Rattus norvegicus: one gene and its partner. The main gene of each other region encodes a partner of the protein of the gene in region 2 in a complex. Links are inferred from orthologs where the notes say so. Each region holds a gene or a part of one and is shown on either strand. Other genes may lie near its edges.

Region 1 (4,292 bases), on a different chromosome or scaffold from region 2:
GAGTGATGAAAATATCTTCCTAGATCTGACAAATAATTCTTCATCACAGCAGAGTTGTGACTTAGACTACACTACAGAGTGGGAACTTTTGGCCCTACTCCCACATCAGAAGGGAAGGGAAGAGTTAGAAGATTGAGAAGGGCTATGATCAGGATGTAAAGGGAATAAAAACTTAGTCAATAAAGAAAAAGAGCAAGAGATTGATCAGGTGCTAAAAACACTCTTAATAGATCACCAGTTTCTGCACACAGAGGTACTGGGGGAGCAGGGCATGCTAACGGGGCATAGGAGCTGTAAATCATACCCAACACCACATCCCATGCAGCTTTTCTATTCACCTTTTCCTGGTATGTAATCCTTACAATAAACCAATCAACTAAGTATTTTACTGAGTTCTACAGATTATCTAATCAGAAGAGGTCATTATGAGAACCTCTGACTTATGGTGAATCAGCAAGAGGGCATCTGTATGAAGAAGTCTGTGGACTGTTGTACCTGAGAGGTCTGTGCTACTCTGAACAGTGGCATAGTGGAAGACACCAGTTTTTATGTTGGAGAATTAGTGTACTAAAAATACATGGTAACAAACATACCCACTCCTTCATTCTGTATCCAGGTCATCTATAAAATAACTATTGAGCATTTCAACAAACTCCTTCCTTAAAAATAAACCAGTGGCACAAGGGCAACACTGATAAAGGAAATCTTGGGCATGTTCCCACATAGCCACTTTGTTGACTAAGTCACAATTATACTTGACTTTTTGAAAAGATCTATTGTAATATTTAGTGATAAGTTATATAATATTATAAACGCTGTCTGTGTTGTAAATGTAATTGTTTTAATAGAATTCATGGATACATCGACATAACTGACAGTTGAAAATTAAAAGAAACTAACAGTTTGATAAATGTCAACAGAATGGTTTCAGCTGAAATATTATACATTCTCCAAAATGCTCATCACTTGCACTGCCTATGAAATAAGTGTATCCTTTCTGGTTAAGATATCAAGTAGGTTAAGTTCTTGATGAGTTTTAAACAAATTGAACAATTACATAAAACTCAAAGAAGATCTACATTTTTACTCTGGGTAGAATACAACAGAATGATGCTATCACGTGATTTCTCTAAGAACATGCTCATGTATAAAAATCTCTTTGATGCACTGAACTACTATAGTAAGAAAGCTTAACTCAGATTCTGACAGACAACACAAACATACAAATAATGACTAAAGAGTAACAAAGTTTCTTTGATTGTTCTCAGAGTCTGTAGGTCATAACACAGAAGTTCCAATCCCAAAAGAAATTATTATTCAATGCTTTTGCATAAAAAACACACTAGCTTTTTTAATCTCTGCTGTAAGTTATGAGCTTATGGTAAAAAACAATTGCATTTTCAAAATTACACTTGAATTAAGAATTTCACTCTATCATCTGTGAATGGTGGGAAAACATAAAAGGGCCAATCTTGTTAATCCAAAATTTCAGGATCTCCATGACATAGGGCAATAAGAGGATAACAGGGAAGTCTCAGTCAGGATCCAATATTAATGGTGTCACAGAAACCAGAGATCTCAAACCAGACCAATGACTCATTACAATGAACATTTGCAAGTGAAGATATATAGACAGAGAAATATACTGTGGGACAACTGTGACACACTACAGCTTCTACAATGAACTTTCTATGCTTTTGCGTGTGTGTTTTATTTTGGGGGGAAAGTTACAAGGGTAAAGGGCAGATATGATGGGACCTGGAGATAAGTGGGAAAAACTTTAAAAAAGTAAGATTTTAGAATAACAAATATGAGATATAAAAAGTAATTCACACAAGACTTACTATCAAACGTACAAAGAGGTAGGGTAAACTTTATCCATCAAATCTCCGAGAATAATAATTAAGCAATGCAGCCCTGTTAACCAAAAACTATTAACAATCTCACAAAAAGACTAATTGTTTTGTAAACTAATCTAGCTAAAATAAAATTATCCATCATGGGCTAGTGAGTTGGCTCTACAAGCAGGTAAAGGGTATTGATACTGCCACACTTGATGATCTGAGTTCAATCCCAGAACCTAAATAGTGAAAGGAGAAAAACAACTCCTATAAGTTACTGTCTGATCTCCACACATGCACACAAACCTACCTCCCCAAAATAAATAAATGTAAATAATATGATATAACTTAAAGCTATTCATATTGTCTACTGTAGATCATCTGGCTTTGGGCTGGAGATATAGCCCAAAGTGCTTACTTATCTTATATGGAAAACTAAGGCCTGAGATTGAGCTCTAACACAAGAAAAAAAAAGAGGGGTGGGGAAGACAAGCCAGCTAATTGCTGGTTTTTCTGAAGGCCTAATTAACCATAAAGTTCTTGAGCAGGGTATGTAGTACAGGCCTACAATCCTATCACTTGAGAGGTTGAGGCATAAGAATGAGGAGCTACAGAGGGTCTTAAACTAGACAACACAGTGAGCTCCAGCTTTGGCAACACAGCAAAATTGTCTCAAAAAACAAACAGCAACAAAAACCCATCATGACCAAGAAAGAGCATACAAGTTAATTGCTACCTGTCTTAGCTGGGGTCTCTAGTGCTTTAAGACACCATGACTAAAACCAATTTGGAGAGGCAAAGGGTTACCTGGCTTACACATTGTGATCACAGTCCATCGGAGTCAGGTCAGGAACTCAAGGCAGGAACCTGAAAACAGGAACTGGAGCAAAAGTCATGAAAGAATACTGCTTACTAGCTTGCTCCCTATGGCGTGTTCAGCCTACTTTCTTCTATCAACCAGGATCACCTGCCCAGAAGTGTCACTGTTCCCACATCAATCATTAATCAAGAAAATGTACTATAGACTTACCTACAGACAAATCTTATGGAGGCATTTTCTCAATTTAGAGTTCCTCTTCCCAAATAACTGTAGCTTATGTCCAGTTGACAAAAATCTGACCAGCATGCTACCATTTCCCCAGACAAAATGAAAACCTGAAAGCAAAAGAAAAGTATGACAACTGGGAACAGTTACAAGGCTTAGGCTAGCCTTAGCTGCGGCACCCGCAGTAGCTCAGTGAAAGTGCGCCTGTGCCAAGGCCTACTTCCTAGATCCAGCACTGAAAAAATAACCACAAGTCAAGCCTCCTAGAATGGAGGACAAGAAGACACACCCCTGAGAAAGATCACAACTCTGAAATAAGTCCAGGCAGTGCAGGAAGGTTAGATAACCAGAATCCATTAAAGATTTAAATACAACAAAAACAACCCCCCCCCCAGACTGCCATGAAAAACTGAGAAAATAAAAAATAATTAATAAACAAATCAATCCAGGACTTCCTACTGCAAAAAAAGAAAAATCAAAACAACAACAAGAACAACAAAACTTCAGAGAAGTCAAAACAAAAAATGAGAGGGAAGAAATTACAAATGAAGGCTTAAGCTCTTTCCTAGAAAGCATAAGTTTAAAAATCAATGAAATTATACATTTTAAGAATAAAAGAATAATAATGATACAAACCATTATGAGGTTTTAGTATAAGCAGATATAACAAAAACTACAAAAAAATTCTAGGAAGAAACAACTGCTGTAAACCAGAGTTAGCTGGCCCAAGTTCTTTACAGTGAAAGGCATATGATGATGGGGAATGCTTTCAAACCTCCAACTTTGTCACCCCAAAAGTTCAAAGGCTCTTTCTCCTTGAGTCTTCCACAGTCCCTGGCATTCTTGCACAACCATATGCTGAACTCTGGACCTGCCATCCTCTCCACTTGCCCGAGGTAGGACAGCAATTACAGAAGAGCAGACGGATCCAAAGAAGTCACAAGGACCCATCCCTCCAAAAACTAGAAAAGCAAAAGCCAAGTTTCATCCTTTATAGCACAGTGAGATTTTAGGGTTAATTCATCAGTGCCACATAACATATTTCTCCTGAGTAAATAGTACCTAAAATTCTATACACAACCAGACCATAAACCAAATACTTAGAGCAACATTTTCTGAGACAAAAGTACCAAATAGAAAGGCACCACCTCGCCCCTTTTAAGGAAGTCTCTACAAGTGTGAGTTTCAGCAACTCAAGAAGGAAAACAAGGAATTCCCCTTGGGAAAAACTTCTAGACTTACAGGCTCTTTCTGTCTCTGCTTCTATATCTCTCCTAGCAAACCAAGACAACTGTTCATGAAGACAGAAATACAAATGCCTAAATCCCAGGGTTAAATTAAACTGCTGGCATCAATGGCAATAAGAGCTGTGTGTACCAGATTCCAAGCTGAAATCCTCTAGAGAA
Region 2 (4,285 bases):
GATAGTCTCGAATACCCCATTCAAGCTATACAGCAGTGAACCGTCCTGGCAAATTATCCCTCAAATTGAGAAGACTAACCAAAACATCCTAAAACAGGCAGCCTGAAGCCATCTTACCCAGATGAGCAGTCCTGGACCCCCAAAACCTCCAACAGGGCTGGACTTATTGTAACCACTCATTAAATACTTTTGTAAGTATCTTACTTTACAACAGACTCTGTATAAGGGATGCACATGGAGCTGAGCTCGGCTTCCTTCGCTGGCTGTTTTGGCCAAGTGACTTATCCTCCAATTGGAAAACAGTAGAGGAGAGGGAATAGACGCTGTTGTGGTCCAACCTCCTGTGCCCCCTGAGTACAGAAATGGCAGGCAAAGCTCTCAGTTCGAGGCCTGGCAGGCATTTGCTGATTGTGAAGCCCCACATATGCACAAAGCACATCCATGATATAATATGGAAAGCACACTAGAAAGCGTGTTGCACAAGCACGGCAGGCATGCCATTTATAACGTCATAGGAAAAAGGAATGTGTGGATGGGTGGGGAAAGCCCGGAATGGGGGAGAAGTTTAACTATTAGGGTCTATCTCTTCACACGGAACTATCAGATTATTTCCAGCAGGATCATAAACCAGAATGCCAGGTGCATGAATGACTAGAGGCTTGCACCTGCAGGAACAGGGGGACGTCTGATTCACTGTTCTAGGGCCATCCTGTTGAGCCATCCTGTTGAGCTGTAAATGCCCTGGAAGGAGGGGTAACTGCAAAGCAGGCACATGTTAGCCCTCCAAAGGCTACAACATAAACAAAAATACAAACTGCTTCCCGCTAAACCTAAGCCGGGAGCAAAACAGTAAAAAAAACACACACACACACACACACACACACACACACACACACCCCAAATGGCCCTTAGACAAGAAAGCAGCTTTCTGAAATTCTGAACTCCCCCTGATCCTTCATGATGCAAATGTTTTCAAGTACCTTCAGGGAAACCCAAGCCCCCCACCCACTCCCAATTTAAATGACCGCCCAAGGGCACACAACCAGGGAGGCAAAGAAGGTTAGAAACTGGGGTAGAGAAGGGAATTACAAACACACTGTGTGCCAGGAATCAGACCTTCAAATTCCCTTTGCCAAAAAGTTACTGGCCAGAGCACACTAACCAGGGGGAAAATGCACACCACTGACCCGTTTCTGTTTTCAAAAGGGAACTGTGATCTTTGTGGTGCTCCACCTTGGTCTAAAGCAGAACAAGGTGGAAAACACAAAGATCACTGGGGTCATTTTCAGCTAACTGGTCAAATACACCTAGGAATCTGAACACTCATTTGTGACCCCCCATGACCCCTCCCCTAGTGCAGAGGTTCCGTTGCAAGGCTTCCCCCACAGGAAAGCCCTCTCCCGGCCTTTCAAAAGCATTGAGGGAATGAGATCAGGAAAACGCAACCGCCAAACGGTAGGCTCAAAACAGGTCACAGAGATGCTGGCCATCTGACGCTTTACTCCAGCGCGCAGATTGTTCTCTAGTGCATCAGGGTAACCTTAAAAGGTTCCTGGGTTTTGTTTTGAAAATGACCTGGGAGAGAGTAAGCTTTCCGGGACTAATCAGGCAACCTGCACAGGCAGTGCACCAGCGACACCTGGCAAAAAGGGGCAGGGCTGAGGAGCTCCAGGAGCCTCAAGATCTGGAGACCCAAGTTACCCTCCAGAGGTAACAAGGTTTTCAGAACAGAAACAAATGCTATTTGCAGGACGCTTACTCTCACCCCTCACCCCCACCACCTAGCCTCCCTAGGCAGCCCTGAGTATGGCTATCACGAGGGAGAGGGTGTCAGGATCTCGGGATCCCCCGCAAAAAAGGCCACCTGCGATTACAAGGCACACACACTAAAACCAGAGGTTTCCAAAGCTGGAGCGGGCTGACTTGGTCCTGCTGCAGCCCGCACGAGGTGGCAAGAACAGCTGCGTCCCCGCACGCAGTCGCTGCTTCCCAGAAGCTGGCAGCCAACGTAGGCTACAGCAGCTCCCTTGGCGCGTGGCAGCAATGAACACCGTGCGGCTGCAGAGAGGGGCGAGTCTCTAGCACGAGATTTACAAAAGGAAAAAGTCTGCAACCTAGCGGCTGCTCGCCACACGCCCGGCTCAAGTTGTCCCCATAGCCGCCACCTACAGGCTCGTGGGGTCCCGCCCCAGAGCCTCACGCCGCGTGCTCCCCGTGCAAAAAAACGGGGGGGAGGGGACAAGCAAGCCCGAGATTCGTCTCCACGGGTGGCGCCGCGCACGACGAGAGCGGCTGCGGTTGAGCCCCCAGCACTGTGCACAAAGAGCGCCCGAGCTGGGGAAGCAGCGGCCCCGAGAAAAGGCTCTCCAAGTTTGCCCAGCGTGCGTCCGGGGACCCGTGGGCTGGTCCTCCCGGGCGCCGGTCACCCACGCGCAACTTTTAACAAAAAGGGAGCCGTGGCAGCACCTCACTAGGAAAGAGGACGCTCTCCCTGCGAAGCCCGAGGCCGCGCTTAGTCGGCACAAAAGCATCACCAAACTCGCCCGCAGCCTGCAGCCGCTGTCCCGGCTCCCAGAAGACCCTCGGCCCCGGGTCTCCATTGCCTGGGCTGCGGTCTCCCAGCTCAGGTGAGCGAGGCGAGCCACCGGAGTCCAGCGTCCGCCCGCCACCTTCGCTGTAGCTGTAACACACAGGCTTGGGAAAAGCCAAAAGCTACCACTCTGGACGCACCCAGGTGGCACCCCTCCCGGACCCGGGCTGCGCCCACAGGGGGTGCAATCCTCCTGCCTGCCGCTCTTTCCCACCTGTCTGGCCACGGAGCAGGACCAACAGGACGCAGAGCAGATCCCAGGCGCCGCGAGCGCCTCTCATCGCGGTGGCTGCGCTAGACTCTGAGCTCCTCTCTCTGCTACAGCTCTCGCCCAAGTGCACGGAGCGCGGCAAAGCCGAGCCCCCAGAGCCACTAGCGGCGCGCGACAGCCCCTCCTCCAGCCCTCCTCCCAGCGCGTGGCCACGCCCCTCCCTTCTCCCGCCCGGGTCGCACTCCCTCCCGCTGCCTGGTGCCCGGGGCTCTCGGACTGGAATATGCTGATTCCAGGGGCGCTGTGCCCTCTAAGACCTGGAGCCCCCATAGGCCCTCCACCCAGAATCCTCTCCCTCCCAGCGCTCTCCCTCCGTCGGTGGTTCTTCAGCCCGAGGCGGCTGGCTGACCACGCAGGTGCTGCCCGCGCTTTGTGAAGCCAGGCGCCACGCGCGCATTAGGCACGGGCCAGCCACCTGGCAGGTGCTCTCTAGACAATAAAGGACAACCACAGGTCCCTCCAACACTCTCAGGAGCGGGGAGAATATACTCGGCTAATGATGGAGGTGTTACTAGTCGGGATTGCGGGGCGAAGGGATTAGGAAACTGGGTCCCCAACATTTCTTTCTGTTCCTGTTAGTAGAGGAGGACAAATCAGGCGGGCGTCCCTGACCTCGGTAAAAGACCGAGCCCACGTTTAAGTAATTTTTCACGCTCAGTTTCTCCACCTGCTGCGAAACCTGTAAGAATACAGCTGATTTCTATTGGCCAGCGTGGACCTCCACCCAACCAAGCTCCTGCTGAGACTTGTGGAAACTGGGCCAGTGGAGTAAGAAGAGGCTCCCGGTGAAGTAGTTAGCTTTGAAATAATGGTTTTTAAAGCCCATTTGCATTTGGGTGCCTTTTCTTTTGTGTTATTATTTTTATCTCACCCTCAATCTCCCCCCCGCCCCTCGCGCCCCTTTCCCCACCTCCCTCCGACTCTGGTCCGCCTTAGGGGCAAGAAAAAAGTAAAATAATTTTCTTTTAAAGTTTTTCTTTAATGTGTATGAGTGTTTTATTTACGTGAATGTGTGTGTGCCACGTGTGTAACTGGTGCCCAGGGAAGTCAGAAGAAGGATGTCAGATCCCCTGAAACTGGAATTACAGATGTTTGTGGATCACCTTGTGGGTTCCTGGAGCTCAATTAGTCTTAATTTTCTTGTTCTTAACTATTGACCTATCTCTCCAACTCCTAAAGTAATAATCTTAAGACAGTTTCTACCTAGGAACATTTTACAGTCACCGTGGCTATCTGTGAGTGGACAATAACAATCTGCTCTGGAAAGGTTCTTATAGTTTTGTATCCCAGTATCCGGGTTTACAGTTAACCTCATGAAGCAGAGAGAATAAACGTTTATTATTGTGGATCTTAAAGCACACCAGGATTGCACACTTAGTAGTTACTGTTTGAGTGTGAGGCCTCATTCCAAGATTTTTTTCTGG

Evidence for each region.
Region 1: the proteins of Kit (region 2) and Socs6 are in contact, whole or in part, in a crystal structure (PDB 2VIF), measured with the Homo sapiens proteins. The link is inferred for Rattus norvegicus from reciprocal best matches to the Homo sapiens genes KIT and SOCS6. Residues at the interface, in NP_000213.1 of Homo sapiens: Asn566, Asn567, Tyr568, Val569, Tyr570, Ile571, Asp572, Pro573, Thr574; in NP_004223.2 of Homo sapiens: Arg391, Glu395, Arg409, Asp410, Ser411, Ser412, Asp413, Ser419, Phe422, Thr428, Leu429, His430, Thr431, Arg432, Phe442, Tyr443, Glu444, Gln445, Val448, His460, Asp464, Ala469, Phe470, Cys471, Tyr472, Ser473, Arg474, Ser475, Arg476, Thr482.

What each region holds. Positions count from the first base shown.
Region 1 is NC_086036.1:84,404,803-84,409,094, forward strand, and holds the start of Socs6 (suppressor of cytokine signaling 6), read right to left. Parts: upstream 2,998-4,292; 5' UTR 2,872-2,997; intron 2,722-2,871; exon of another isoform or gene 2,649-2,721; intron 1-2,648. UniProt on the Homo sapiens protein: SOCS family proteins form part of a classical negative feedback system that regulates cytokine signal transduction.
Region 2 is NC_086032.1:32,975,898-32,980,182, forward strand, and holds the start of Kit (mast/stem cell growth factor receptor Kit precursor), read right to left. Parts: upstream 2,916-4,285; 5' UTR 2,872-2,915; coding exon 2,805-2,871; intron 1-2,804. UniProt on the Homo sapiens protein: Tyrosine-protein kinase that acts as a cell-surface receptor for the cytokine KITLG/SCF and plays an essential role in the regulation of cell survival and proliferation, hematopoiesis, stem cell maintenance, gametogenesis, mast cell development, migration and function, and in melanogenesis.